Macaca fascicularis: one gene and its partners. The protein of the gene in region 1 purifies or fractionates together with the protein of each later gene. This does not show direct contact. Links are inferred from orthologs where the notes say so. Each region holds a gene or a part of one and is shown in the gene's direction. Other genes may lie near its edges. The genes, in order: CDKN2A, CDK5RAP3, TOP1, CUL2 and CCND1.

What was found.
Region 2: the proteins of CDKN2A (region 1) and CDK5RAP3 purify together in Homo sapiens (affinity purification with western blotting; 3 studies listed by BioGRID). This does not show direct contact. The link is inferred for Macaca fascicularis from reciprocal best matches to the Homo sapiens genes CDKN2A and CDK5RAP3.
Region 3: the proteins of CDKN2A (region 1) and TOP1 purify together in Homo sapiens (affinity purification with western blotting; 3 studies listed by BioGRID). This does not show direct contact. The link is inferred for Macaca fascicularis from reciprocal best matches to the Homo sapiens genes CDKN2A and TOP1.
Region 4: the proteins of CDKN2A (region 1) and CUL2 purify together in Homo sapiens (affinity purification with western blotting; 3 studies listed by BioGRID, with this or other methods). This does not show direct contact. The link is inferred for Macaca fascicularis from reciprocal best matches to the Homo sapiens genes CDKN2A and CUL2.
Region 5: the proteins of CDKN2A (region 1) and CCND1 purify together in Homo sapiens (affinity purification with western blotting; 3 studies listed by BioGRID and IntAct, with this or other methods). This does not show direct contact. The link is inferred for Macaca fascicularis from reciprocal best matches to the Homo sapiens genes CDKN2A and CCND1.

Annotation. Positions count from the first base shown.
Region 1 is NC_088389.1:76,949,500-76,955,351, forward strand, and holds the start of CDKN2A (cyclin-dependent kinase inhibitor 2A), read left to right. Parts: upstream 1-2,303; 5' UTR 2,304-2,327; coding exon 2,328-2,453; intron 2,454-5,852. UniProt on the Homo sapiens protein: Acts as a negative regulator of the proliferation of normal cells by interacting strongly with CDK4 and CDK6. This inhibits their ability to interact with cyclins D and to phosphorylate the retinoblastoma protein.
Region 2 is NC_088390.1:58,752,407-58,757,629, reverse strand, and holds part of CDK5RAP3 (CDK5 regulatory subunit-associated protein 3), read left to right. Parts: intron 1-534; coding exon 535-645; intron 646-1,660; coding exon 1,661-1,739; intron 1,740-2,665; coding exon 2,666-2,754; intron 2,755-4,418; coding exon 4,419-4,624; intron 4,625-4,991; coding exon 4,992-5,163; intron 5,164-5,223. UniProt on the Homo sapiens protein: Substrate adapter of E3 ligase complexes mediating ufmylation, the covalent attachment of the ubiquitin-like modifier UFM1 to substrate proteins, and which is involved in various processes, such as ribosome recycling and reticulophagy (also called ER-phagy).
Region 3 is NC_088384.1:97,227,371-97,232,593, forward strand, and holds part of TOP1 (DNA topoisomerase 1), read left to right. Parts: intron 1-2,541; coding exon 2,542-2,636; intron 2,637-2,853; coding exon 2,854-3,003; intron 3,004-4,039; coding exon 4,040-4,142; 3' UTR 4,143-5,223. UniProt on the Homo sapiens protein: Releases the supercoiling and torsional tension of DNA introduced during the DNA replication and transcription by transiently cleaving and rejoining one strand of the DNA duplex.
Region 4 is NC_088383.1:35,861,818-35,867,607, reverse strand, and holds the start of CUL2 (cullin-2), read left to right. Parts: upstream 1-2,240; 5' UTR 2,241-2,424; intron 2,425-2,470; exon of another isoform or gene 2,471-2,672; intron 2,673-2,712; exon of another isoform or gene 2,713-2,955; intron 2,956-5,790.
Region 5 is NC_088388.1:5,017,378-5,023,398, reverse strand, and holds the start of CCND1 (G1/S-specific cyclin-D1), read left to right. Parts: upstream 1-2,463; 5' UTR 2,464-2,621; coding exon 2,622-2,819; intron 2,820-4,349; coding exon 4,350-4,565; intron 4,566-5,151; coding exon 5,152-5,311; intron 5,312-6,021. UniProt on the Homo sapiens protein: Regulatory component of the cyclin D1-CDK4 (DC) complex that phosphorylates and inhibits members of the retinoblastoma (RB) protein family including RB1 and regulates the cell-cycle during G(1)/S transition.

The DNA of each region.
Region 1 (5,852 bases):
ATTTTAATAACATACTTGACATCCCAAATTGTTTCCATTGGCTTCATTTTAAAAACTACGTGTTTTAACATCAAGCAGACACTAAAAGTACAAGATATACTGGGTCTACAAGGTTTAAGTCAACCAGGGATTGAAATATAACTTTTAAACAGAGCTGGATTATCCAGTAGGTAGGTTAAGCATGTGCTTAAGGCATCAGCAAAGTCTGAGCAATCCATTTTTTAAAAACGTAATATATGTTTTTGAAAAGCTTAAAAAGTAATAGTCACAGGAAAAATTAGAACTTTTACCTCCTTGCACTTGTTATACTCTTTAGTGCTGTTTAACTTTTCTTTATAAGTGAGGGTGGTGGAGGGGCCCATAATCTTTTCAGGGAATAAGGTCTTCTTGATCTTTCTTTCTTTTTTTTCTTTTTTTTTTTTTTTTTTTTTTTTTTTTGAGACCGAGTTTCGCTCTTGTCTCCCAGGCTGGAGTGCAATGGCGCGATCTTGGCTCACTGCAACCTGCGCCTCCTCCTAGGTTCAAGCGATTCTCCTACATCAGCCTCCCAGTAGCTGGGATCACAGGCATGAACCACCAAGCCCAGCTAATTTTGTATTTTTTAGTAGAGACAGGGTTTCGCCATATTGGTCAGGATTGTCTCGAACTCCTGACCTCAGGTGATCCTCCTGTCTCAGTCTCCCAGAATGCTGGGATTATAGGCGTGAGCCACCGCGTCCAGCCTTTCCTTTTATATAATAGTGATAATTCTATCCAAAGCTTTTTTTTTTTTTGAATCGGAGTCTCATTCTGTCACCCAGGCTGGAAGGCGGTGGCGCGATCTCGGCTCACGGCAACCTCTACCTCCTGGGTTCCAGCGATTCTCCTGCCTCAGCCTCCTGAGTAGCTGGAATTACACACGTGCACCACCACGCCCGGCTAAGTTTTGTATTTTTAGTACAGACGGCCAAAGCTGGCCTCGAACTCCTGACCTCAGGTATCTGCCCGCCTCAACTTCCCAAAGTGCTGGGATTACAGGCGTGAACCACCGCGTCCGGCTCCAAAGCATTTTCTTTCTATGCCTCAAAACAAGAGTGCAAGCCAATCCTCAAAACGGATAATTCAAGAGCTAACAGGTATTAGTTTAGGATGTGTGGCAGTGTTCTTAACTCTTATATGTATTAATATACAACAATTCATTTAAACTCACAACACCCCTGTAAAGCAGGGGGTACCCATATTCCCTTCTCCCTTTATAACTAAGAAAAATGCAAAGTATTTTCAGTAGGAAAGAGAAATGTGAGGAGTGTGTAGGAGACAGGACAATGTGTAAAGCGGGTCTTTGGATCACTGTGCAACTCTGCCTCTAGAACACTGAGCACTTTTTCTGGTCTAGGAATTATGACTTTGAGAATGTAGTCCGTCCTTCCAATGACTCCATCTCCATTTTCCTATCTGCCTACAGGCAGAAATCTCCCCCGTATTAAATAAACCTCATCTTTTCAGAGTCTGCTGTTATACCAGGCAATGTACACGTCTGAGAAACCCTTGCCCCAGACAGCCATTTTACACGTAGGAGGGGAAGGGGTGGAGAAGGAGAGGGTAGGCCAACTCTCCAAAAGGAATCCTTTGAACTAGGATTTCTGACTTAGTGAACCCCGCGCTCTCGAAAATCAAGGGTTGAGGGGGTAGGGGGACACTTTCTAGTCGTACAGGTGATTTCGATTCTCGGTGGGGCTCTCACAACTAGGAAGGAACAGTTTTGCTTTTTCTTATGATTAAAAGAAGAAGCTATACTTTCCCTATGACACCAAACACCCCGATTCAATTTGGCAGTTAGGAAGGTTGTACCGCGCAGGAAGGAAACGGGGCGGGGGGCGGGGGGATTTCTTTTTTTCTTTTTAACTGAGTGAACGCACTCGAACGCGCCTTTGCTGGCAGGCGGGGGAGCGCGGCTGGGAGCAGGGAGGCCGGAGGGCGGTGTTGGGGGCAGGTGAGGAGGAGGAGCCCAGTCCTCCTTCCTTGCCAACGCTGGCTCTGGCGGGGGCTGCTTCCGGCTGGTGCCCCCGGGGGAGGCCCACCCTGGGGCGACTTCAGGGGTGCCACATTCTCTACGTGCTCGGAGTTAATAGCACCTCCTCCAAGCACTCGCGAACGGCGCCCCCCTGCCTGGAAAGATACCGCGATCCCTCCAGAGGAGTTGAGGGGGACAGAGGCCGAGGGGGCTCTTCCGCCAGCACCGGAGGAACAAAGAGGAGGGGCTGGCTGGTCACCAGAGGGTGGGGCGGCCGCGTGCACTTGGCCGCTGCGGAGAGTGGGAGAGCAGGGAGCGAGCAGCCGGGAGCAGCATGGAGCCTTCGGCGGACTGGCTGGCCACGGCTGCGGCCCGGGGTCGGGTAGAGGAGGTGCGGGCGCTGCTCGAGGCGGGGGCGCTGCCCAACGCACCGAATAGTTACGGTCGGAGGCCGATCCAGGTGGGTGGAGGGTCTGCAGCGGGAGCAGGGGATGGCGGGCGACTCTGGAGGACGAAGTTTGCAGGGGAGTCGGAATCAGGTAGCGCTTTGAGTCTGGAAAAAAGGGCTTCCTGGGGAGTTTTCAGAAGGGGTTTGTAATCACAGACCTCCTGCTGGCGAAGCCCTGGGTGCTTGCGAAGCCAAGGAAGGAATGAGGAGGCACGCGCGTGCCGATCTCTCGAATGCTGTGAAGATCTGAAGGGGGGAACATATTTGTATTAGATGGAAGTATGCTCTATCAGATACAAAACTTACGAAGGTTTGAGATAAAACGGGAGTCTTAAAGAAATGTAAGATGTGCTGGGACTACTTAGCCCCCAATTCACAGATGCCTGGATGGAGTTTATCTTTCTTACTAGTAGGGATTATCAGTGGAAATCTGTGCTGTATGTTGGAATAAATATCGAATATAAATTTCTGATCGAAATTATTCAGAAGCTGCCGGGCGCAGTGCCTCACGCCTTATAATCCCATCACTTTGGGAGCTCAAGGAGCGGGGGGATCACCTAAGAGTTCGAGACCAGCCTGGCCAACAGGTGAAACCCCGCCTCTACTAAAAATACAAAACTTAGCCGGGGGGTGGTGGCAGGCGCCTGTAATCCCAGCTACTCGGGAGGTTGAGGCAGGAGAATCGCTTGAACCCGGGAGGCTGAGGTTGCAGTGAACAGCGAGAGGGAGCCACTTCACTCCAGCCTGGGTGACAGAGTGAGACTGTCGAAAGAAAGAAAGAGAGGGAGATTAAAAAAAAAAAAGCATTCAGAAGCAACTACATATTGTGTTTATTTTTAACTGAGTAGGGCAAATAAATACATGTTTGCTGTAGGAACTTAGGAAATAATGAGCTACATTCATGTGATCGTGCCAGAAGTAATATGTAGTCACCATTTTGGGAATATCTGCTAATATTTTTACTGTTTTGCTATCTTTAGCTTACTTGATAATAGTTTATTTTGTGATAGAGTTTTCAATTCCTCATTTTTGAACAGTGGTGTTTCTCCTCTCCCTACTCCGGTTTTGTGAGGGAGTTAGGGGATGATTTAAAAGTAATTAATGCATGGGTAACTTAGCATCTCTAAAATTTTGCCAACAGCTTGGACCCGGGAATTTGGCTTTGTAGTCCTAAAACATCTTAGAAGAGACCTTATTTGTTTAAAAACAAAAAGGAAAAAGAAAAGTGGATAGTTTTGACAATTTTTAATGGGGAAGGGAGAAGAACATGTAGAAAAGGGGAAGTGTTGTTGGCTTAGAATCCTAACTACACTGGTGTTTAATATAGGAACACTTATTTGTATAATATTTTTAAATGCTAAATTCATATCAATTTATTATCAAATGGGTTTAAGCATCCTACACATTTTAATTCAATGAATTCATTTTCTTTTTGCTTTGGATTTATATCATGATTTAAATATTTACATATGGGTTACTTTTTAGGTTTTTCATTCTATGAAATATAATAAAAACCTTTAAGGCTAGTTTTATGACCAAGACAAAGAGAACTTCAGTGAACACACGGAACAATAAATATGCTGCAACATTTTGTCTTTCTTTTTGTAGCTGCAATTTGGTTTGCTTATACTTTCTCTTTGTCTCTTTGAAAACTAAGTCAGTTTCACTTTCTCAGGACAGCATTTAATAACCATAATATAATTTAGTATAATTCCTTGATTTAGGCAAATTATGCAATTTGTGTTTAGTATGAAATGTACCTAAAAATAAGTAATTCCTCTTTAACACAACCATCCTCAAGCTAATATAACAAATAACAGTTATCCTAAAATAAATTGTTTATTTCCACCATGCAACACTCAAATTTTAAGGTTGCTATGACTGGAGACAGTATTTTAAAATTCCTCTCTGGAAATGGCTTTGTTTCCAAGATGATTTAGGAACCAAAAAGGTGACCATCTCTTGTTTAATGAACTCTCAAATCATAAACCTGGGAAGCCTTTTCGTTTCCTATTGCTGCTGTTACAAATTACCACAAATGTGTTAGCTAAAACAAACAAAATTATTATTTTACAGTACAGTTCTAGAGATCAGAAGTCAAAAATGGGTCCACTTTGGGAAACTCTAAGGGACAATCTGTTTCCTTGTCTTTTCCAGCTTCTAGTGACCATCAAATTCCTTGGCTCATATTCCCTGTATTTTCTCTGTGGCCTGTGCTTCCATTCTTTTATCTTCTCTCTGACTGTGACCCTCTAATAAAAACACTTGGGGTTCTATTGAGCCCACCCTGAAAATTCTGGATAATCTCCCTCAAGACCATTACTTAAATCACATCTGCAAAGCCTCTTTTGCTACATAAGTTAATAAATTAACAGTTTCTGAGGATCAGGACATAGACATTTGTGGGGGGGGACCTTATTCAACCTACCACAGGAAGGAATTTTAGGGCTAGTCTAGCATTCTTATTTTATACTTGAAGAAATTGAATTTTTGGAATTGGAGAGCATTATGCTAAATGAAATAAGCCAAACACAGAAAGACAAATATCACATGTTCTCACTTATCTGTGAAATATAAAACAAATACATTCTTAGCAGTAAAGAGTAGAATGGTGGTTGCTGGAGCTGGGGAGGGGGGCAGTGGGAGGAATGGGGAGTGGTAATCAAGATACAAAGCCTCAGTTAAGATGGAAGAAATAAGTTTGATTTTTTTTGAGATGTGTTTCACAGCATGATAAATATAGCTAAATAGTAAATCCCAAATGCTCTCATTTGACAAAAATATCAAATATTTGAGATGATGGATGGGTTAATTAGCTTGACTTAATTCCACATTGTGTTCAAAGATCATAACTTCATATTGTACCACATAAATATATACAACTGTACTATGCCAATATGTAATTTTAAAACTAATTTAATGAAAAAGAAATTTAAGTTCAACGTTCCCAGAAACTAAGGGTAACTTAAAAGTTTTGTGAGAATTTGTTTAAAAAAACAAACAAACAAGTTTTCTCTTTTTAACAATTACCACATTCTGCGCTTGGATATACAGCAGAGAACAAAAAAAAAAAAAAAAAAAAAATCTCCAGGCCTAACATAATTTCAGGAAGAAATTTCAGTAGTTTTATCTCAAGGGAAATACAGGAAGTTAGACTGGAGTAAAAGTCAGTTTGTCCCTGCCCCTTTGCTATTTTGCCCATGCCTCACAGTGCTCTCTGCCTGTGGCGACAGCTCCGCAGAAGTTCAGAGGTTATAATGGAATTCAATGTGATAGAGAACTCGAGAAGGAAATTGGAAACTGGAAGCAAATGTAGGGGTAATTAGACACCTGTGGCTTGTGTGGGTGTCTACTTGGCGGTGAGGGGGCTTCACACAAGCTTCCTTTCCATCATGCCGGCCCCTACCCTGG
Region 2 (5,223 bases), on another chromosome or scaffold:
AGTATAGGTGAGTGAGTGCCACAGAGGTTTTGCAAGGTGGTTCAGTTTGAACTGGGAGCCTCCATCATGTGAGCTCTCTGAAGATGGGCTTTCTTTGGGGGAGCTTAGAGGCCACTGCATTTGAACAGTGTGCTCTCTACAGAAGCAGCTGAGGCCTTTGGGAAGGCAGTCCCACCCTCCTTTTTAATTAATTTATTTTGGAGACTGGGCCTTGCTCTGTTGCCCAGGCTGGAGTCCGGTGGCATGATCTCAGCTGACTGCAACCTCTGCGTCTCAGCCTCAAGCGATCCTCCCAAGTCAGCCTCCCAAGAAGCTGGGATTACAGTCATGCGCCACCACTCCTAGCTAATTTTTTATTAACATCTTTGTAGGGATAGGGTTTTGCCATATTGCCCAGGCTGGTCTGAAACTCCTGGGCTCAAACAATCCCCTCTCCTCAGCCTGCCAAAGTGCTGGGGTTACAGACATGAGCCACCACGCCTGGCCCTTTTTAAATCCATCTTCCATGAGCTAACACTCTCTTTCCCTTTCCAGATTGACTGGGGCGACTTTGGGGTAGAGGCAGTGTCTGAGGGGACTGACTCTGGCATCTCTGCCGAGGCTGCTGGAATCGACTGGGGCGTCTTCCTGGAATCAGATTCAAAGGTGAGGAGGCCTTCTCAGTCTGTCTCTCTCATTACTACTCTAACCATCAGAAAAGTGTCATTTGTGTCTGTAAAGGCATCACTTGAAGTTCATAGCTCTAAGACCAGGTATAGTCCAAGGGAGGCAGAGTTTCACACCTTACATGTCAGGGTTTTGTTTTGTTTTTTGAGGCAGTCTCATTCTGCCCCTCAGGCTGGAGTGCAGTGGCGCAATCTCGGCTCACTGCAACTTCCGCCTCCCAAGTTCAAGTGATTCTCCTGCCTTAGCCTCCCAAGTAGCTGGGATTATAGGCACCCACCATCACACCCTGCTAATTTTTGTATTTTGTTAGTTTGTTTGTTTTTTGAGACAGTGTCTCACTCTGTCACCTAGGCTGGAGTGCAGTGGTGCGATCTCGGCTCACTATAAGCTCTGCCTCCCAGGTTCATGCCATTCTCCTGCCTCAGCCTCCTGAGTAGCTGGGACTACAGGCGCCCGCCACCACACCCTGCTAATTTTTTTGTATTTTTAGTAGTGACGGGGTTTCACCATGTTGGCCACGATGATCTCGATCTCCTGACCTCGTGATCCACCCGCCTCAGCCTCCCAAAGTGCTGGGATTATAGGCGTGAGCCACCACGCCCGGCTAATTTTTGTATTTTTGATAGAGTCGGGGTTTCGCCATGTTGGCCATGCTGGTAACTCCTGACCTCAGGTGATCCACCTGCCTTGGCCTCCCGAGGTGCTGGGATTACAGGCGTGAGCCACCGCACCCAGCCCATGTCAGAGTTAAATTTTGGTGTCCTTTTTCCTGCCTGGTGTCTGGTGCAGGATGTAGGGGTATAGGCAGGTGGGAACACTACAGAGCAGGGATGATGGGCCCTACTGCCATCTTTGGCACCTAACTCAGGGCTGCAAGTCCTTAATAGAGTTGGAACGTGCAGCCATTGACCTCATCAAGGGCTTTGGTTTATTCTGGCTCCTTGGCTCAAGAAAATTCTCCCACCATTGCTGTGGTTCTTTGCTCTCCTTCCAGGACCCTGGAGGTGATGGGATAGACTGGGGTGACGATGCTGTTGCTTTGCAGATCACAGTGCTGGAAGCAGGAACCCAGGGTAAGTGCACTATCCCCTGCAGCCCTGGCAAAAGTGGGGTGCTCAAGGGCCCCCAGGTGTCTAGAAACAGAAAAAAAATGCAGCACCAAGATGAGGCTTCTCGCACGTTTAACTGTTTCTGAAAACCTTGATGAGGATGTGAGTTGAGGGGGACCAAGAGAGGTTCTTTCTTTTTTTTTTTTTGAGACAGAATTTCACTCTTGTTGCCCAGGCTGGAGTGCAATGGCGTATCAGCTCACCGCAACCTCCACCTCCTGGGTTCAAGCGATTCTCCTGCCTCAGCCTTCCAAGTAGCTGGGATTACAGGCATACACCACCATACCCAGCTAATTTTATATTTTTTTAGTAGAGACAGGGTTTCTCCATGTTGGTCAGGCTGGTCTCAAACTCCTGACCTCAGGTGATCCGCCTGCCTTGGCCTCCCAAATACTGGGATTACAGGTGTGAGCCACTGCGCCTGGCCCAAGAGAGGTTCTTAAAAGTTAAGAGCTTAGAAACTCTCAACTTTTTAGAGACCAAATGTGGGCCAGCTGTTTTGATAGGAGGGTGGTAGGGGGGTCAGGGGGCACTGGAGTGTGACGTGACCCCCGCCCCAGCAGCCGAGAAAATGTAGTGGTGTCTGAGCCACTAGAGGGCGGTGCAGGATGAAACTTTACTTCCTACCGTCCACCAGAACAGAGAACCCGCCTTTCTACCCCTCTGAACCCAGCTCTAGTCCTTCTCTCAGGCTGGGGGTTGAAAAGTGGTACCTGATTAGAGCTGAGACACCTGGGACAAGGTACCCTTCTCCCTTGGATTGGAACAGGAAGTGGCTTTAGCGCAGTGAGTCTGTCCGTATTGATCCTCCAGGGCTTCTCAAACTTGAGGGTCTTTTCCTTCTCCAGTCCTCTGATCCTTTATCACTTCTCTGTCTCTCTTCCTGGCAGCTCCAGAAGGTGTTGCCAGGGGCCCAGATGCTCTGACACTTCTTGAGTACACTGAGACCCGGAATCAGTTCCTTGATGAGCTCATGGAGGTACTGTCATCTCTGGGAGATGCAGGGGGAGGCATGGCACCAGCACAGGTGGCCTCACTCCGGACGCCTGACCTGACCCTCCTGTTTGTGTGAAGGGTGTGAGTGCTTTCTGTGTCCTGCAGCAGGAACCTCACATATTAGATGCCTCCCGTTCATCCAGTTACTTATCAGGTACCTCCTAGGCACCTGGCACTGTCTTAGGCACCAGAACTTAGGTGGTGAATAAGACAGGTAAAGTCCTTGACCTCATGGAGCTTATATTCTAATGGGGAATGCAGACTGGAAGAAGATAAATAAAATTTGCAGGATGCTAGATGGTACTAAGTGCCACAGAGAAAAAGAAAGCAGGGAAGGATGACGAGATGTTGGGAAGGGCTATAGTTTTGTATCTGGTGGTCAGGGAAGGCCTCAGAGAAGGTGACCTGTAATCAAGACTGCAGGCGGTGCAGAGAGAACCATGCAGATGTCTGGCAGAAGGGCTTCCCAGGCAGAGAGAGCAACTGCAGAGGTCTCGAGGTGGGAGCAGGCCTTGCACAGTTGACCAGCAACATGGAGGCTGGTGTGGCTGAGGAGGGAGAGCTGGTGGGTAGTAGAAGAGCTCAGAAAAACAGCATCTGAACTTTGGTTTGCCTCTTAGTGAACTGGGAAGCTGTTGGAGGTTTTGGGCAGGTTAGGAACGTGATCTCATTTGTATTTAAGCACGATCCCTGTGGCTGAGGTGTTGAGCAGCCCAGCGTAAGGAGCCAGCATTCTTGGACCTTTGTTGTAGGGCTGGGAGGATGGGGTCCTGTCTTTGTTAATCTCTGTATCTGCTCCCTTCCCAGTAGCCTGCTGGTTCAGAGAGCCTCCTGAAAGTTCTGTCCTCACCCAGTTCCCTCCTCTTTCTGCCCAGAGGCTCCTCCCGGCTTCGAGGGGAGAGGACAAAAGATATCTGTCAAGTTTTAATGGCAGAATAGGATTGATAAGATAATGTGACTGGCTCTTGTATTCTTTTCAGCTTTGCCTTAATCCAGTGCTTCTCAAACATGTATTTCTGTTCCCTGAATCTCATTCCTCCCATGGAGACAAAATAAATATCTTCCCTGGGCAGAGAGAACCCTTTGAGTCTCTGTATTCTCAGTTATCTGATCCCAGGCTGGGAGAAAGGACCGAGGTCTGGGGTTAGGCTGAGAAAGGAGTGGGGGACTGAAGGGTGACAGTAGTCTCTCCGAGAGCTTACAGTGTTCAGGGGAAATAACCCCACCTTACCCAGAGTCTAGCCCTCATGTCTCATTTTTGCATTTCAAGTAGTCTAAGGGCTTAGATTCTGAGTTCTTTTCTCAGTTTGAACCAATTTATCTTTTTTCTTTCTTCCTTTTTTTTAAAAAAGAGTTTCTCTGTCACCCAGTTGAGTGCAGTGGAGCAATCATAGCTCACTATAACCTCGAACTCCTGGGCTCAAGTGATCCTCCTGCCTCAGCCTCCTGAGTAGCTGGGATTACAGGCATGCACTACCATGTTTGGCTAATTTTTAAAATTTTTGTAGAGACAGGGTCTCACTATTTCCCAGGCTGGTCTTGAAATCCTGGCCTCACGTGATCCTCCCGCCTCGGCCTTCCACAGTGCTGGAATTGCAAGTGTGAGCCATCAGGTACAGCCTGAACCAATGTTTCTTCTGTCCTCAGCTTGAGATCTTCTTAGCCCAGAGAGCAGTGGAGTTGAGTGAGGAGGCAGACGTCCTGTCTGTGAGCCAGTTCCAGCTGGCTCCGGCCATCCTGCAGGGCCAGACCAAAGAGAAGATGGTTACCATGGTGTCAGTGCTGGATAATCTGATAGGCAAGCTCACCAATCTTCAGCTGCAACACCTGTTTATGATCCTGGCCTCACCAAGGTCTGGCTTCCCCTTGATGCAAGGCTCTGCCATCTTGAGCAACTCTGCCTCCTTGTATTCCTCCTCTTGTTCCACGACCCCTTAGACCCCGTCCCTGCCTCCTGGCTGTTGCCATCCACTGGGGATAGGGGTTCTCTTTGGGGCAAGAGGGGGTGGTTTGATATATACAGGAAGAATCTGCTTGCTTCCTGAGTAGGACAGGGGAACTGGGAGTGGGTTTTCCTTAAAAGAAAGGAAAGGGTTTAAGGATATGAGGGTAAGCGGCCAATTGGGGGTTTGGTTTCCGAGCCTCTCACCTCCCCAGCAGCTGAATGGGAATGCTCAGGGTGCACAGCTACCCCAGCACTCACCTGAGTGCCCCGCACAGGTATGTGGACCGAGTGACTGAATTCCTCCAGCAAAAGCTGAAGCAGTCCCAGCTGCTGGCTTTGAAGAAAGAGCTGATGGTGCAGAAGCAGCAGGAGGCACTTGGGGAGCAGGCGGCTCTGGAGCCCAAGCTGGACCTGCTGCTGGAGAAGAGCAAGGAGCTGCAGAAGCTGGTGAGATGGGAAAGGGAGGCCTGCCAGTGGGAGGACTCCCAATCTGTGCAGAGCGAGGCC
Region 3 (5,223 bases), on another chromosome or scaffold:
TAGTTTTTTGTATGTTTTAGTAGAGACGGCGTTTCACCATGTTAGCCAGGATGGTCTCGATCTCCTGACCTCGTGATCCGCCCGTCTCGGCCTCCCAAAGTGCTGGGATGTTCCCCATATTCATAACTGAAGAAGAAATGCTAAATTTCAGCTAGAGGCTGGGTGCAGTGGCTCACACCTGTAATCTCAGCATTTTGGGAGGTTGAGGTGGGAGGATCACTTGAGCTGAGTAATTCAAGACCAACCCGGGCAACAGAGTGAGACCCTGTCTCTATTAAAAATTTAAAAGTAAATATAAATAAATTTCAAAAGGAGGTTATTGAAATTATAGATGTAATTTTTTTCTCATCCAAGTTCATGGAATTCTATACTTGTACAACTGGAGTTTAAGAACTACTACTATGGAATGAGACTGCATTTTAAGGCTCAGAATGTTTTCCATTTGTTGAGATTTCCTTAAGATAAGTACCCATGAGTAATACAGCTGGTTCAAAAGGTACACACAACCTATAATTTATGCTACAGATACCATCTGGCTTTCTTGAAGAGATGTACCCGTCCACAGTGAATGAATATACATCCATAGACCACTTGAGTCCTTGGATCATATGATTGGCAGGCAAAGAACTCTATAGATGGCCCATCCTAGCAGCTCACATTTGCTGCCACTCTGTTAAATGCTGGTCATCTGGAATTGTTTATTCTCCTCATGTTATCATTCCAAGCCAGAAATAAAAGCATGAATATTCAGGTGCTGTTTACCTAATTCAGGAAGACCCCTCCCAGGAGTATGAGGAGGTCTTTTGTTGCTCTCACTCTGGAACCACTGTTTGGGCAGCCCAGGCTGCCTGCCAGACGAGCCCTCCAAGCCCAGGATTCCTCTCCTGTGTGCCCACAAAGCAAACACACGCCCCTTTTTGCCAAGTGAATCAATGGAGTCTTTGATGCTTTGAGAGAATTTGACATAGCCTGCCAATTTAGCATTCACAGAAATGGTTAAAAGATTGTGGTTTGCTACATTTCTATCCTAAAAAGAATCTGGCTAGTGGTGTCTGTGACGCTTTTGTATATAGAATCAGTCCCCTCAGTTTGGCTTTGGACAACATAGATATTGGAAGTAAGCCATTCATAGTAAAACATATTTAGTGATTCTCTCACAATGGTGGCCTCTGTTTCCAGTCTTGGGCTGTGTGTATTTAACAAACAATTCTGGGCTCAGTGAGCAGCCCAGTGTGTGTCAGACATGTTATTTACTCTGTGGAGGTTGTGTTAACCTCACAGATCAGCTAGATGGTCATAGATATGGGGTTCTTCTGTCCTCAGAGCAGCGTGAGCTCACTGACAGGGGCTCTAGCTCCATGTTGTTACCCACTGCTGTCTCTAAGCAGGAATCTAAGAACTTTCTCACCAGTGGTGCTTCAAGGATTCTAACAAGCAAGAAAGGCTGAAACTGCCCTTGTCTCTTCCCTTATAGATATGGATTCCACGAGATTTCACTTGGGAAAAAAAGCTCCACAGCTGAAAGTGTTTTCACATCCATTGAGTGACAACTAAGGTCCTTCCCACCTCAGACCTCTCTCCTTTTTATTTTATTTATTTATTTATTGAGACGGAGTCTCGCTCTGTCACCCAGGCTGGAGTGTAGTGGCGTGATCTTGGCTCACTGTAAGCTCCACCTCCCAGGTTCATGCCATTCTCCTGCCTCAGCCTCCCGAGTAGCTGGGACTACAGGCGCCCACCACCACACCTGGCTAATTTTTTGTATTTTTAGTAGAGATGGGGTTTCACCATGTTAGCCAGGATGGTCTAAATCTCCTGACCTTGTGGTCCACCCACCTCAGCCTCCCAAAGTGCTAGGATTACAGGCATAAGCCACCGCGCCCGGCAACCTCTCTCCTTTTAAAAACAGAATGCCAAAGCTAGGCCCTGCCATGTCCTGGTTTGGGACAGACTGGCTGAGCTGTTTGGCTTCCTGGGTATCTTTTAATTGCCAGTTTGTAGCCCCTTGAGTACTCTCTTCAGTGCATCCATTTTCCTTGAGAAGCTGTCGCCGCCTTCCCAGAGTACTGGTGGGATCTGAGGAATGAGCTGGGGTTGCCCAGTAGATGCAAGTATCCTGGCTCAGCTTCCTAAAGAGTAGCTCCTACAGTGTTCTTGGAATGAAAGCTAAAAACTGGCACAGGATCTAGTTGATAAACAGCTGTCATTTGTAGCCGTTCTCCCAGATGTCTGACAGCAGAGTGTTCTCTGATGGAAAGATCAGCACCCAGATTCCCAGCCCCAGCGGGTTCCTTTCCCTGAGCCCCTAGGTTACTATGCTGTAGAACCCTTGTTTCTTGCAGGATCACTGAAGAACAAATAGTTGAATTCAGTAGTCCCTGTGCATCTTCTCCCTGCCTTCATGAAGCCACCCTTGGTGTTTTTATCTGACAAACCACTGACAGAGACAGCTTGGTCCAGATAACATCTAGGTTTCACCTTGTCTTGAGGGAGCCATTTTTCCTCTACAGCTCATAACCTTACCACTATTATTTCCCCTAGATTGATGCCAAGAAGGAACAGCTAGCAGATGCCCGGAGAGACCTGAAAAGTGCTAAGGCTGATGCCAAGGTCATGAAGGATGCAAAGACCAAGAAGTACGTACCTGGTATTGTAAAAGTTGGGGCGGGTGGGGAAAAGTGTGTGCAGCATCTGTCAGAGGTCCTGGGGCCCTGGCTTTTCTATGGTTTCTGAGGGATGTCTTTTGGAAATCTCTGTACTAGGGCTTTTATTGACTCAAAGTGGCAGCATGGGTACAGTGTGCTCTTGTTTAGAGCCCAGGCCTGGTTCTTGAGGACTGTGCTATTCTTCTAGGGTAGTAGAGTCAAAGAAGAAGGCTGTGCAGAGACTGGAGGAACAGTTGATGAAGCTGGAAGTTCAAGCCACAGACCGAGAGGAAAATAAACAAATTGCCTTGGGAACCTCCAAACTCAATTATCTGGACCCTAGGATCACAGTGGCTTGGTAAGTGTTGAACCTTCCTTGAGCTCCTGCTGCTAGCTTGAGAAAGGTGGAGGGCACTGGTGGCCTTCACATGCCATTCCTAAGCTGCACACTTCTAGTCCTATGGGGAAACTTCTGGCTTCAGCTGTGTACAAGTTACTTTGGTTGCTGAACCTTGTCTGTAGATGCATTGCAACATTCTGGTTGCTCCTAAATGGTCAGTGCTGTCATACTGCCTTGTAGTGTATGTTATGTTTTTAAGAGGCAGGTTCCATCCCTATTCCTTATGGAACTTTAGGACAGGAATGGAAACTCTTAGCTTCTGGCAAAATAGGAAAGAGCCCATTCAACTCTACCCTTCAACAAAACTTTTCGTTGAAATTTTTTGCAGTTGAAGGTAGGAACAAGAGATAAAGATGAGAATAGAGATCTGAGCAACTTACACAGAGAGGCAGAGGGGTCTTTAACAAAGGCAGATAAATATTAGGTTTCTCTCTGTGTGTCACACACACTGTCACATAACATCTGAAATAAGTGGCTTTGTTTTGGAAGATGTTTAGTTTGAGCTGTTAAGTTCTGAGCATAGGTGGAGATATCCTCCCCTATGGCACTTGCTAGTCCGGGCTAAAGGTTCCACCTAACTCTTTTGTACCTCTTTCTGCTCGTTTTGCCTTGTTTGGTGCTAGAGGTTTGGTTAGCTCTTAAAAGGCAATATAGTATAGGGTTAAGAACATGGAGAAAAACTGCTTGGGTTCAAATTTCAGGTCACTTACCACCTAGCTGTTTGAGAAAATCAGTAAATTACCTAACGTCTCTGCCTCAGTTTCTTCATCTGTACCTTTTTTACTTGTACATCTGCAGAAGCACCTACTTTAGAGATCACTGCCAAGATTAAATGAGTTGATCACATAAAACCTTTAGAACATGCTTGGTGCACTATTAATTTGCATCCTCACTAGACAGACGTGAAAGAGAAGATGGAACATCTGACCCTGAGCTTCAGATATGGGCCATTGCTGAGTCACCCTAATCCCCCTTATTTCTCCTTTATTTGCAGGTGCAAGAAGTGGGGCGTCCCAATTGAGAAGATTTACAACAAAACCCAGCGGGAAAAGTTTGCCTGGGCCATTGACATGGCTGATGAAGACTACGAGTTTTAGCCAGTCTCAAGAGGCAGGGTTCTGTGAAAAGGAACAGTGTGGTTTGGGAAAGATGGATAAACTGAGCCTCGCTTGCCCTCGTGCCTGGGGGAGAGAGGCAGCAAGTCTTAACAAACCAACATCTTTGCGAAAAGATAAACCTGGAGATATTATAAGGGAGAGCTGAGCCAGTTGTCCTATGGACAACTTATTTAAAAATATTTCAGATATCAAAATTCTAGCTGTATGATTTGTTTTGAATTTTGTTTTTATTTTCAAGAGGGCAAGTGAATGGGAATTTGTCAGCGTTCTACCAGGCAAATTCACTGTTTCACTGAAATGTTTGGATTCTCTTAGCTACTGTATGCAAAGTCCGATTATATTGGTGCGTTTTTACAGTTAGGGTTTTGCAATAACTTCTATATTTTAATAGAAATAAATTCCTAAACTCCCTCCCCTCTCCCCCATTTCAGGAATTTAAAATTAAGTAGAACAAAAAACCCAGCGCACCTGTTAGAGATGTCACTCTCTATTGTCATGGGGATCAATTTTCATTAAACTTGAAGCAGTTGTGGCTTTGGCAGTGTTTTGGTTCAGACACCTGTTCACAGAAAAGCATGATGGGAAAATATTTCCTGACTTGAGTGTTCCTTTTTAAATGTGAATTTTTATTTTTAATTATTTTAAAATATTTAAACCTTTTTCTTGATCTTAAAGATCGTGTAGATTGGGGTTGGGGAGGGATGAAGGGCGAGTGAGTCTAAGGATAATGAAATAATCAGTGACTGAAACCATTTTCCCATCATCCTTTGTTCTGAGCATTCACTGTACCCTTTAAGATATCCATCTTTTTGTTTTTAACCCTAATCTTTCACTTGAAAGATTTTATTGTATAAAAAGTTCCACAGGTCAATAAATTTAGAGGAAAATGAGTATTTGGTCCAAAAAAGAAAAATAATCAAGATTTTAGGGCTTTTATTTTTTCTTTTGTAATTGTGTAAAAAATGGAAAAAAAACATAAAAAGCAGAATTTTAATGTGAAGACATTTTTTGCTATAATCATTAGTTTTAGAGGCATTGTTAGTTTAGTGTGTGTGCAGAG
Region 4 (5,790 bases), on another chromosome or scaffold:
GTGTATGTACCATTTCTTCACCTAGAGTGTTAGAAAGACTTGTATTCAAGGGCCAAAATTTAATAAAATTAATGCTTCTGCTTCATCCAGGATATTCCTAAATCAATAGTCTTTTTTTTTTTTTTTTTTTTTTTTGAGACGGAGTCTCGCTCTGTCTCCCAGGCTGGAGTGCAGTGGCGCAATCTTGGCTCACTGCAAGCTCCTCCTCCCGGGTTCACGCCATTCTCCTGCCTCAGCCTCCCGAGTAGCTGGGACTACAGGCACCCACAACCGCGCCCGGCTAATTTTTTGTATTTTTAGTAGAGACGGGGTTTCACCGTGGTCTCGATCTCCTGACCTTGTGATCCGCCCGCCTCGGCCTCCCAAAGTGCTGGGATTACAGGCGTGAGCCACCGCGCCCGGCCCAATCAATAGTCTTAAAAACTGGGAATGTGTGGCAGTGAATACAGCGATCCAATGACCACCCAGACAGGTTGGTGGCACTGTCTTGATCCCTGCTAAGGCATCAATAGTGTCCCTATTCCTTTGTACCATCAGTACAAAAACAAACTCAGTCAAAAAGACAGAGGAGGCCAGGCGTGGTGGCTCACTCCTGTAATCCCAGAACTTTTGGGAGGCTGAGGTGGGCAGATCGCTTGAGCTCAGGAGTTCCAGAGCAGCCTGGGCTACACAGTGAGACCCCACGTCTACCAAAAATACAAAAATTAGCTGGGTGTGGTGGCGCACGTGCCTGTAGTCCCCACTACTTGGGAAACTGAGATGGGGCGCTCGCTTGAGCCCAGGAGTTTGAGGCTGCAGTGAGGTATAATCGGGCCATCGCACTCCTGCACTCCAGCCTCAGGGACAGAGGGAGACCCTGTGTCAAAAACAAAAACAAAACAAAACAAAAACCGGGGGGGGGGAGGCCTGGCACGGTGGCTCAGGCCTGTAATCCTAGCACTTTGGGAGGCCGAGGTGGGTGGATTGCCTGAGCTCAGGAGTTCAAGACCAGCCTGGGCAACATGGTGACATGGTGAAACCCTGTGTCTACAAAATACAAAAAATTAGCTGAGTGTGGTGGCGGGCTTCTGTAATCCCAGCTACTTGGGAGGCTGACACAGGAGAATCACTTGAATCCAGGAGGCAGAGGTTGCAGTGAGCTGAGATCATGCCACCACTGCATTCCAGCCTGGGTAACAGAGCAAGACTCTCTATCCAAAAAAACAAAAACAAAAAAGGACCAGACATGTTGCATTGTTAACAAACTAGTTGTTAACCTTGTGACCTCTGTAAAGGTCTCAGGGATTTCCAGAGGTCTGGGGACCACACTTTGAGAATCACTAGATTAAAAAGGAGGAAACACGGGAGGAAAAAAAGGTCACATAATGGAAACATATTGTTGAATTGAATTTAGTGTATAAAAACTCTTTAATGAAATAAAGAGTATAGACTTCAAGTACTAAGAGAAGCTAGAAGAGGAGGGATCCCTACAGTCCCTACAGAAGACTGTAGGGATTGATCAGGTCAGGAGGCAGGGTTTTAAATGGGCCTTGAAGGGTTGGTGCAGTTTGGAAGGAAGGGATGGGAGGGAAAAGCTTGCTGAATGGTATAAATGAACAAGACCCTGATGGTGAGCTCTTGAGGATATGAAAGGCAAAAAAGCATTACGGAGGGGCTTTTGTTCCCCTGTGGCCCTGCATATATGAGGAGGTGATGAGTAATTCTACATTTTTGTCAACTTTACCGTTTAAAACTCCAAGGGAGGAAAACCCTTCAAACTGATAGGCTTGGGGCTTGGTGAAGGTGGGCTATTAGTGACAAAGATGTGAAGTTTCTTTATCGAAAATACATGTATGTCCAAGAAGTTCTCTGTAGATAAAAACTAACTAGAAAAAGAGTTTGTCAGAGAGGAGAAGTAGTTTTACTAATATATTTTTGATCATTTGCAAAGCCCATGGAAGTGTGTGGCAAGACGATTGTGGTGTCTTAGGATTCACAGAGGTCTGAAACAAGGAAAACATACTTCTGTTGAAAGCACCATTCCAACATATTGTTATTATCAGCCCCTGGACTAACGGGTAGTGAGTGGGTACTGTGTCCATCAGCTCAGCGAACCGCAATTGCCTCATTGACAGCAAGCCCAGCAAGGAATCACTTGGAATATTAATTTTCGTGGCCTTTCGCAATCACATAAAGCTTGGCTCCCTGCGCTTGCCGTAATGCGGCCTCTACCATTGCTTTCCGGCGGCGGGGGGGGATTTGGCAGCAGCGGAAGAAGGAGACCGGAGGGTGTGTTTTGGGGAAAGCCGGAGGCAGAGGAGGACGATTGTTTTACGAATCCCGTGATCGGCCCGTCCTTCTCCCCTTTCCCCCCTCCCTACCGCCCCTGTCCCGCCGGGCAGCGGTGGCGGCCTTGGACTTCGCTGTCTTTCCTCGCGGAGACAGGTGAGTGTCGGCGCGCGGGCTCCCCGGGCTTCGCTCCCCACCCCCCGCGTCTCCGGGGCCGGTGGCGGCGGCCGGCCGGGGAGGCGGCCTCGGCGCACAGTAATGGCAGCGCTGTGAACAGGGGAACGCGAGCTGACAGCCGCCGCCGCCGCCTCCGCCCACCTTCCTCGCCGGGGCTTCGTCTTTCACTCCTTCGGGCTGCCTCCCCCTCCCCTTGTCCCCTGCCCCTTGCCCTGCTTCTGCAGAAGGTAACCCCGCTGAGGGTCGGGGAGCCGGGCTGCAGGCGCCGGGAAACTTCCCTTCCCGGTTAATGGGTGGCGGGGCTGGGGCGGAGGAGAGGAGTTGGGGGCGACGAGGTGTGGGGAGAGGGATGAAACGGGGAGGCCCGGTAAGATGGTATCCCGTAAGTGACCTCGGCTCCCCAGAGCGCTGACCCCTAAGCCCTGCCACCCCCTGGACTGGATCCCGGGCCTCCCCAATCCGATCTTGGCCGCCTCTCCCGCGGCCCCATTTTCCTCCGAAGGAGGGAAGGTGAGAGTGCGTGTACTCTTCTAAATATTTACGTGCTCACACGAATACACAACTCTGTGTGTTTGTGTGTGTGTGGGGGGCATCTCATGCATCCTTACCACGAGTGTTTTCACTTTTGTTTCTGCAGACTGCAAAGATTGATAGCTTTGGGGAGGAGTATCCTACGTGCATGCTAGCTAGACCTCTTGTCTCAACACTTAGGGTCTGGTGAAATAAGATCCTCACAGGCTTTCTAGCACTTGCTTACCCTCTAGGGAGTCTGGACCATTCCCTACCATTACGTGCAATCAAATAAAACATCTGTGAATTGCAGACTGTTATTAATGTTAAGCCCACATCTTTGCCCCATGGATTAATATTAACAGTTGAAGGCCAGTACCCTGGGCGTTTAAATTTTGAAGATAAGATGCAAAATATTAACATTCGCTATAGATTGTGACTGTTCAACATAAACGTCTTTGAACTAGACCTGGCCCAAGCCTACCTTCGTAGTAAAGTATGGGAAATAATCACTTTGATCTGATTGACAACTGACTACATAATAATCGCTTAAAAACATTCAAAACACTGTTGCCTACCCTTTAGAATCTTACATCCCTTTTCAAAACACATGAACATAAATTAGCTATACTTTGCTTCTTTTGCCCATATACAGTATCTGGAAGATGCGTACAAAAGAGTCACGTGAGGTAACAGAAGTACACAGTTTTTTTGTTTTGAGATGGAGTTTTGCTCTTGTCGCCCAGGCTGGAGTGCAGTGGTGCCATCTTGGCTCACTGCAACCTCCGCCTCCCGGGTTCAAGCAATTCTTCTGCCTTAGCCTTCCATGTAGCTGGAATTACTGGCATATGCTACCACGCCCGGCTAATTTTGTATTTTTAGTGGAGACGGGGGTCTCACCATGTTGGCCAGGCTGGTCTCGAACTCCTGACCTCAGGTGATCCCCCTGCTTAGGCCTCCCAAAGTGCTGGGATTACCGGCCTGAGCTACAGCACCCAGCCCACAGTGTTTTGAATTACTTGTTTTTTTCAGTTGCTGTTTATGAGTTGGGGGAACATTTCTACAATGTGCATGCACATAGCGTAGGAAAAATTCCTTTTCAATTGCCTTTTGAGTATTTGGATGTTCTCCTGCATCTGAAATACTCTCCATTCTCCATCCTTTCTGGTGGCTTTAAGTGTTCTATAATTGTGAAGATTATCCATGTCTTTTACCCTCAGCAGTTTGTCACTAGATTAAATGTTATGGACCTTCTTTAAAGTCGTTTTTGTGTTGTCTGTCAGTTGACAAATATTTATTAAGTACCTGGTTTATTTGTCAAGCAGTGCTGCAGGCATTAAAAATACAAGGGTAAACAAGACACATTACATTTCTTTTTTTTTTTGAGATGGAGTCTTTCTGTCACCAGGCTGAAGTGCGGTGGCACGATCTCGGCTCACTGCAACCTCTACCTCCCAGGTTCAAGCAATTCTCCTGCCTCAGCCTCTTGAGTAGCTGGCATTACAGGTGCATGCCACCACGCCCGGCTAATTTTTGTATTTTTAGTAGAGACTGGGTTTCAACCTGTTGGCCAGGATGGTCTTGATCTCTTGAGCTCGTGATCCACCCTCCTCAGCCTCCCAGAGTGCTGGGATTACAGGCGTGAGCCACTGTGCCTGGCCGACCCATTAAATTTCTATCCTCGTGGAGTGTCAATTCTGGCTTGGGATGGAGAGACAGATGGTAAATAAGAAGTAATCTCAGAGAATAAGTGCTGTGTGGGAAATAAGGTAAGGAGTTGTGGTAGTAATTGGGGGATTACTTCAGATACTGTAACCGGAAAAGACCTTCCTGAGGTAAAGTTTGAAATTCTGAGGGAAAAGTTTTCCTGTTTTAGGGAGGAGCAAATGGAAAAACCCTGAGGTGCTATCAAACTTGGATCCAACAAACTGAAATTGGCTTAAGGTGGACCCTTATAGAGATTAAAGGTGGGTCCTAGCCAGGGGCTGGATCATGTTGGCTTTTGTTCTTATGATACATTAAAAGGCTTTTGGAACTCTTCTAAACTGGGAGTGATAAGGTCTGATTGAGAATCAGACTCAATTGGAGAAGAGGAGAGATGCAAGGAGACCAGTGATAAGAGCAGTGGCTGTGGAGGGTTAAGGTACAAGTGAAAGGTTTTGAGATTTATTTTGGAGTTGAAGATACTTATTGAAATTGTCATGTTTTAGATGAGCATGCAGTGGGACAGGGGTCACTCCCGGGTTTTTGGCTTCCGCTGGAGAATGATGATGCTGTGTACTGAGATGAAGAAGGGTGGGGGGAAGCAGGCTGTTGTATGGGATGGGGTTGGGTTGGACATGTTAAGTTGGATCTCATTGTTCAAGTGGAGGTGAGAAGTAGGTGATTGGAAATAAGTGTAGAACTTAGTGAGAGGTTGAGGAGTGATTAACTCATTGAACAAGGGCTTCTCAAGCACCAGCTTTAAACCAGATGTGTGGATATAGTAGTTTAAAAATCTCTGGCTTCATGGAACTTAACTTCTAGTGAAGAGAGAAAGATGGATATGGAGAGTCCTCAGCATTTATTTATTGGTATACTAATGTTTTTAACAAAAACTATATTCACGTGACTCAAAATTTAAAATGTTAGTCTGGGCAACATGGTGAGACCACATGTCTACAAAAAATAATTTTAAAAAAATTTGCCAGGCATGGTGGCACATGCCTGTAGTACCCACTATTGGGAAACTGAGGCCAGATGCCCAGGTTGGAAGTGGCAGTGATCTATGATTGCACCACGGCACTCCAGCCTGAGTGACAGAGTGAGACCCTGTCTCTAAAACAAACAAACAGA
Region 5 (6,021 bases), on another chromosome or scaffold:
CAAATGGTCACCAAGAAATAAGAACAGAGCACTTTAAATGAGCCCAGAAGCCGCAGTTCCTGCTTCGTGGTGGGTTTTAAGAAGACAGTGTAAAGTAAAACTGCAACAGAAAAGTTTTTTAAAGTTGCTTTTCCCTTTGGAAAAAAATCAAAATGCTTTCTCTGCGCTTCTTGAAGCAATGACCCTCAAAAGCCCAGAGGTATTGGCCCCCTCAGGGGACCCGGGGGCCGCTAAGCAGGGTTCCCCCAGGTGGAGGCTGGACAGCTGGCGCTCCCCGCCGGGCCCCAAATTCCAGCGCCTCCCCCGCGGGTTCCTGGACGGCTCTTTACGCTCGCTAGCCGGGCTTGCAATTTTGCGCTCGTCCCTGAGCCGGGAAATCAACGAAGTTCCTAGCCTAGATCTGCCCGGTCCGCCTAGTAACAGCGCCGCGCCCCCATTGGCTCATGCTAATTCCAGTTTCCTCTGTCTTGCGCCCGGGATGGGGGGGTGAAGCTCCCTCCTGGACCCAGAGCCGGTTTTGCCGGAGTGGGCGAGCCTCTTTATGCCGTGCTGCCCCTAGCCGACTTCGGCCCGCTTCGCGCCTCGGGCTGGGCCAGGGCGCACGCGGGGCTCGGGGCCCCTCGACCCCCGGGGTGGGAGAGGCCGGGTGATAGCTCCGGGCCCCATAAATCATCCAGGCGGCCGCCGGGTCGGGATTTTATGAATGAAAAAGCAGCTGGGCCGCCCTCGTGCGCGGGCTGATGCTCTGAGGCTTGGCTATGCTGGGGCCAAAGCGATTATGGGTGCTCGGGGAGTGGGGGGGACACGACCGTGGGTGCTCCCTGCTGGGGCCACCCATCGCTCCCCATGCGGAATCTGGGGGTAATTACCCCCCAGGACCCGGAATATTAGTAATCCTAATTCCCGGCGGGGGAGGGGGCACGGGAGGAATTCACCCTGAAAGGTGGGGGGTGGGGGGGGTCGCATCTTGCTGTGAGCTCCCTGGCGAAGGGGAGGGGACTTTTTCTATCCGTTTTCTTTGAGCTTTTACTGTTAAGAGGATACGGTGGTTTGATGACACTAAACTATATTCAAAAGGAAGTAAATGAACAGTTTTCTTAATTTGGGGCAGGTACTATTAAAATAACAAAAACAAAAGTTAAGACAGTAAAATGTCCTTTTATTTTTTAATGCACCAAAGAGACAGAACCTGTTATTTTAAAAACTATGTATTTTAATTTACATCTGCTTAAGTTTGCGGTAGTGGGGACCCTCTCATGAAACCACGAACACCTATCGATTTTGCTAAAAATCAGATCAGTACACTCATTTGTTTAATTGATAATTGTTCTGAATTATGCCCGCTCCTGCCAGCCCCCTCATGCTCACGAATTTAGTCCCAGGGCAAACTCTAAAGGTGAAGGGACGTCTACACCCCCAACAAAACCAATTAGGAACCTTCCAGTGGTCTTGTCCCAGGCTGAGGCGACTAATATTTCCAGCAATTTAATTTCTTTTTTAATTAAAAAAATGAGTCAGAACGGAGATCACTGTTTCTCAGCTTTCCATTCAGACGTGTGTTTCTCCCGGTTAAATTGCCGGCACGGGAAGGGAGGGGGTGCATTTGGGGATCCCCGCAAGGACCGACTGGTCAAGGTAGGAAGGCAGCCCGAAGAGTCTCCAGGCTAGAAGGACAAGATGAAGGAAATGCTGGCCACCATCTTGGGCTGCTGCTGGAATTTTCGGGCATTTATTTTATTTTATTTTTTGAGCGAGCGCATGCTAAGCTGAAATTCCTTTAACTTTTAGGGTTACCCCCTTGGGCATTTGCAACGACGCCCCTGTGCGCCGGAATGAAACTTGCACAGGGGTTGTGTGCCCGGTCCTCCCCGTCCCTGTATGCTAAATAGTTCTTGAAATTTACACGTGTTAATGAAAATGAAAGAAGATGCAGTCGCTGAGATTCTTTGGCCGTCTGTCCGCCCGTGGGTGCCCTCGTGGCGTTCTTGGAAATGCGCCCATTCTGCCGGCTTGGATATGGGGTGTCGCCGCGCCCTAGAGTCCCCCCTTCTCGTGGTCTCCCCAGGCTGCGTGTGGCCTGCCGGCCTTCCTAGTGGTCCCCTACTGCAGAGCCACCTCCACCTCACCCCCTAAATCCCGGGGAACCCACTCGAGGCGGACGGGGCCCCCTGCACCCCTCTTCCCTGGCGGGGAGAAAGGCTGCAGCGGGGCGATTTGCATTTCTATGAAAACCGGACTACGGGGGCAACTCCGCCGCAGGGCAGGCGCGGCGCCTCGGGGATGGCTTTTGGGCTCTGCCCCTCGCTGCTCCCGGCGTTTGGCGCCCGCGCCCCCTCCCCCTGCGCCCGCCCCCGCCCCCCTCCCGCTCCCATTCTCTGCCCGGCTTTGATCTCTGCTTAACAACAGTAACGTCACACGGACTACAGGGGAGTTTTGTTGAAGTTGCAAAGTCCTGGAGCCTCCAGAGGGCTGTCGGCGCAGTAGCAGCGAGCAGCAGAGTCCGCACGCTCCGGCGAGGGGCAGAATAGCGCGAGGGAGCGCGGGGCAGCAGAAGCGAGAGCCGAGCGCGGACCCAGCCCGGACCCACAGCCCTCCCTAGCTGCCCAGGCAGAGCCCCAGCCATGGAACACCAGCTCCTGTGCTGCGAAGTGGAAACCATCCGCCGCGCGTACCCCGATGCCAACCTCCTCAACGACCGGGTGCTGCGGGCCATGCTGAAGGCGGAGGAGACCTGCGCGCCCTCGGTGTCCTACTTCAAATGTGTGCAGAAGGAGGTCCTGCCGTCCATGCGGAAGATCGTCGCCACCTGGATGCTGGAGGTGCGGGGCTTTGGGCGGCTCTCTTAAGACTTCCCTGCAACTTGTTGCCCAGACCCACGTTTCTTTGCTCCTCACCCCCCTCCCTTCTCTCCCGCTAGAACTTTGAAGTTTGCTGTGGTGTTGCTAGGGATCCGCATTTTAAAAATAAAAATTGTGGGTATTTTCTGAAGCAGGAAGGGGTGGGGGTGGGGGTGCTATAAGTTGCGTTTCGTGGGAGGGGAGAAGGGGGTTGGGGAGGGGTGCCGTCGGGAGAAGCCAGTGTCGGGGCACCCCAATGGGCCCGAGGGTGCGGGCTGGCAGGCTGAGTGCGCTTTGTGCCCCCCGCCTGCGCCCCAGCCCGGCTGCGCCTCCTCTCGCGGCCGCTGCGGCCGAGAGCCGCCAACTCCGGGGGGAGGGGGCATAGATTTGATTTTTAAATTAATATCCATGGACACGTATGCAAGGGCCGCTCGTGCCAGTATTATGCGCCATCTTTGCTCTTTTATTGCAAAGCAAAAGTGTTTATTAATAATTGGGGGCAGGGTGGGGGCGGGGAGCGGCCGCCGGGCGCTGGGGCCGCAGCTAGGGGCCGCGCGGCCGCCGGGAGCCCGCGGGAGGGGCGCAGGGACGCGGCATGGGGAGTTTTGGGGGGACCCCGCTCGGGAAGGGGGGCCCTTTGTTTAAGCAGCGAGTCCCGGGGCGCCCCAAATGGGCAGCCAGGGCCGGAGAGCACGCCGAGCTGCAAGGTCGCGTGGCCCCCAAGACGCCAGGGCTTGATCCCCGTCTGCAGGGATCTCGGCTTGGGGGACCTTCTCTGAGGGAGCCGGGGGCCTGGGAGCACATTTTCAGACCTTCGGTGGGCGCCTGAGGGGCCCGCAAGTATTTTTAAATAATTTTTGAAAGTGCGGCGTGGTGCCCTTGCGAGAGGGAAACGCCGCCCGCGCCCAGGGGGAAGGGGGGCCCCGGAGTTTGAATTCCTGGGGCTCCCCCCGGAGCCTGTAACGAACTCCCGACCCTCGGCCTGGGTAAAGGGTCGCCCGAGGGTCATTTTCAGGGTTTTTTTATGCACTTAGTTATTTTTTTAATATTTTTAAATATTTTTTGAAAAGATGACGTCTGGGGAAATGCGGCGCGGCGGCCTGGGACGCCACCTTTGTGTCTCGCAGGCGCGGCGCCCAACCCCGCGGCCCGTTCCGCGGCCCCGCACCCCAGTGGGTGTCGACCCTCAGTCAGAGGGACCACGGAGCTCCAGGGCGGGCCGGGGTCCCCAGGGCTGGCAGCCCGCGCCGCCGCGCACGCCGCCCAGCTGTGCCCGCTCCCGCCCCCACCGTGCCAGCCTCGCGGGGACTTTCCCTTTCAGTTTCGGGGAGGGTGGGTACTGGGGACGCGCGGGGGAGGGGGCGCATCACAGGAAGGTCCTTCCGCCCCCGGCCCCCACCCCTCCGCGCCCTTCAGAACTGGCGGTCCTGCCGAGCGCGATGGGGGGGTGCGGGGGCGGGGGTGGGGCGGCGCGACCTGGCGGCGGCGGTCACGGGCCCCGTGCCTCCGCAGGTCTGCGAGGAGCAGAAGTGCGAGGAGGAGGTCTTCCCGCTGGCCATGAACTACCTGGACCGCTTCCTGTCGCTGGAGCCCGTGAAAAAGAGCCGCCTGCAGCTGCTGGGGGCCACCTGCATGTTCGTGGCCTCTAAGATGAAGGAGACCATCCCCCTGACGGCCGAGAAGCTGTGCATCTACACCGACAACTCCATCCGGCCCGAAGAGCTGCTGGTAACCGCGGGACCCCGCCGCCCCCTGCCCCCCGAGAGTCGCACGCAGGATCACGGGGCCGGGGAAGGTGCAGGCAGTGGCGGCCGGCCCGCCTCTGACATATCTGCTCCCAGGGAGGGCGGCCCCGCCGCCGGGCGTCCCTGTCCCGGGAGCGGGCGGGATCCTAGCCGCCCCCGTCCCACCGCCCCCAAGTCGCTTGCCTGCGACTCCCACCGCGTTCGCGCCCGGCAGTGTGGCCGAAAAGTGGGCGGCGCGCGCCCTCCAGCGGCTGCACGAGGAGCGCCGCGCTCCGCACTGAGCCTTCTGTTTCAGGTGGTGGGAGGTCTTTTTGTTTCCACTTGCAGAGTCTTTTCACGCAGCGGGCACCTTTTCTGTTTTGATCTGGGATCGCGTGTTGCCCCGGCTCCCCGATACCACCCCCATCATTCGCCAGCCCTCCCCTCCCACCTCCAGGACCGCACGAGACGCAGGGGCCAGTGCTCTGAGCGGGAGGTGCTGCATGGCCCGGGCCCCCATGCTGCCGGCTTCCCCGCGCCCCCGGGCCGGCCCGCACCTCCCCTGATGGCCGCTCACCCTGTGTTCGCAGCAAATGGAGCTGCTCCTGGTGAACAAGCTCAAGTGGAACCTGGCCGCCATGACCCCGCACGATTTCATCGAACACTTCCTTTCCAAAATGCCAGAGGCGGAGGAGAACAAACAGATCATCCGCAAACACGCGCAGACCTTCGTTGCCCTCTGTGCCACAGGTAGGGTAGGCCCAGCAGCCCCCGGCCTCCGCTGGAGAGCCAGCTCCTTAGGTGACCCTGGCCGGCTTCTCGCTCTCCACCGGGGTGATGTCTGGGAAGATGTCCCTAGGCTCCCTCCTGCGCTGGGAAGCGCTCTTCCAGCTCTGGTGAGCAGAGGCCCAGGATTATTTGTTGTGCTGGATGGAAGGGGATTTGCTCCCTCACGGCCACCATGCAGTACCTTGGGCATCGGTGTGGACAGCTCGGCCTGCCTGTGTCCAGCTTCTGTGGCCTCATCCTCCAGGCCAGGCAGCCTGTGGCCACTCCATGCTCAAAGGGGTTTACCTTGGCTGCAGGGCCGCCTCCTTTCCCCACCCACCTCCAGCCCTTCTTGTGTCCTTAAGGAGCCTGAGCTGCAGGGCCCCCTCCTGGCCTCTCCCAGGCTGGGCCACCTGCCAGAGACGCCTCCAGGGGCGGGGAGAGCTGTTGGCCCGCCTGCACCACGTGCTCTGGGCAGCCGAGTGCAGGGGTGTCCAGCAGAGGAGCTCTGCTGCCTGAGGCCCTGCCAGGGGTGCTGCCAGCCAGCCGGGCTCAGCTGAGCCCTGGGGGGTGCTTCAGAGCAGTCTCAGCTTGGGCCGCCACCGTAGGCAGCAGAAGCACCCAGTCCTCACTTCCCCTGGCATGGCCCCAGAGGCCCCTCCTTGACATGGCCCTGGCCCCAGAACCCAGTG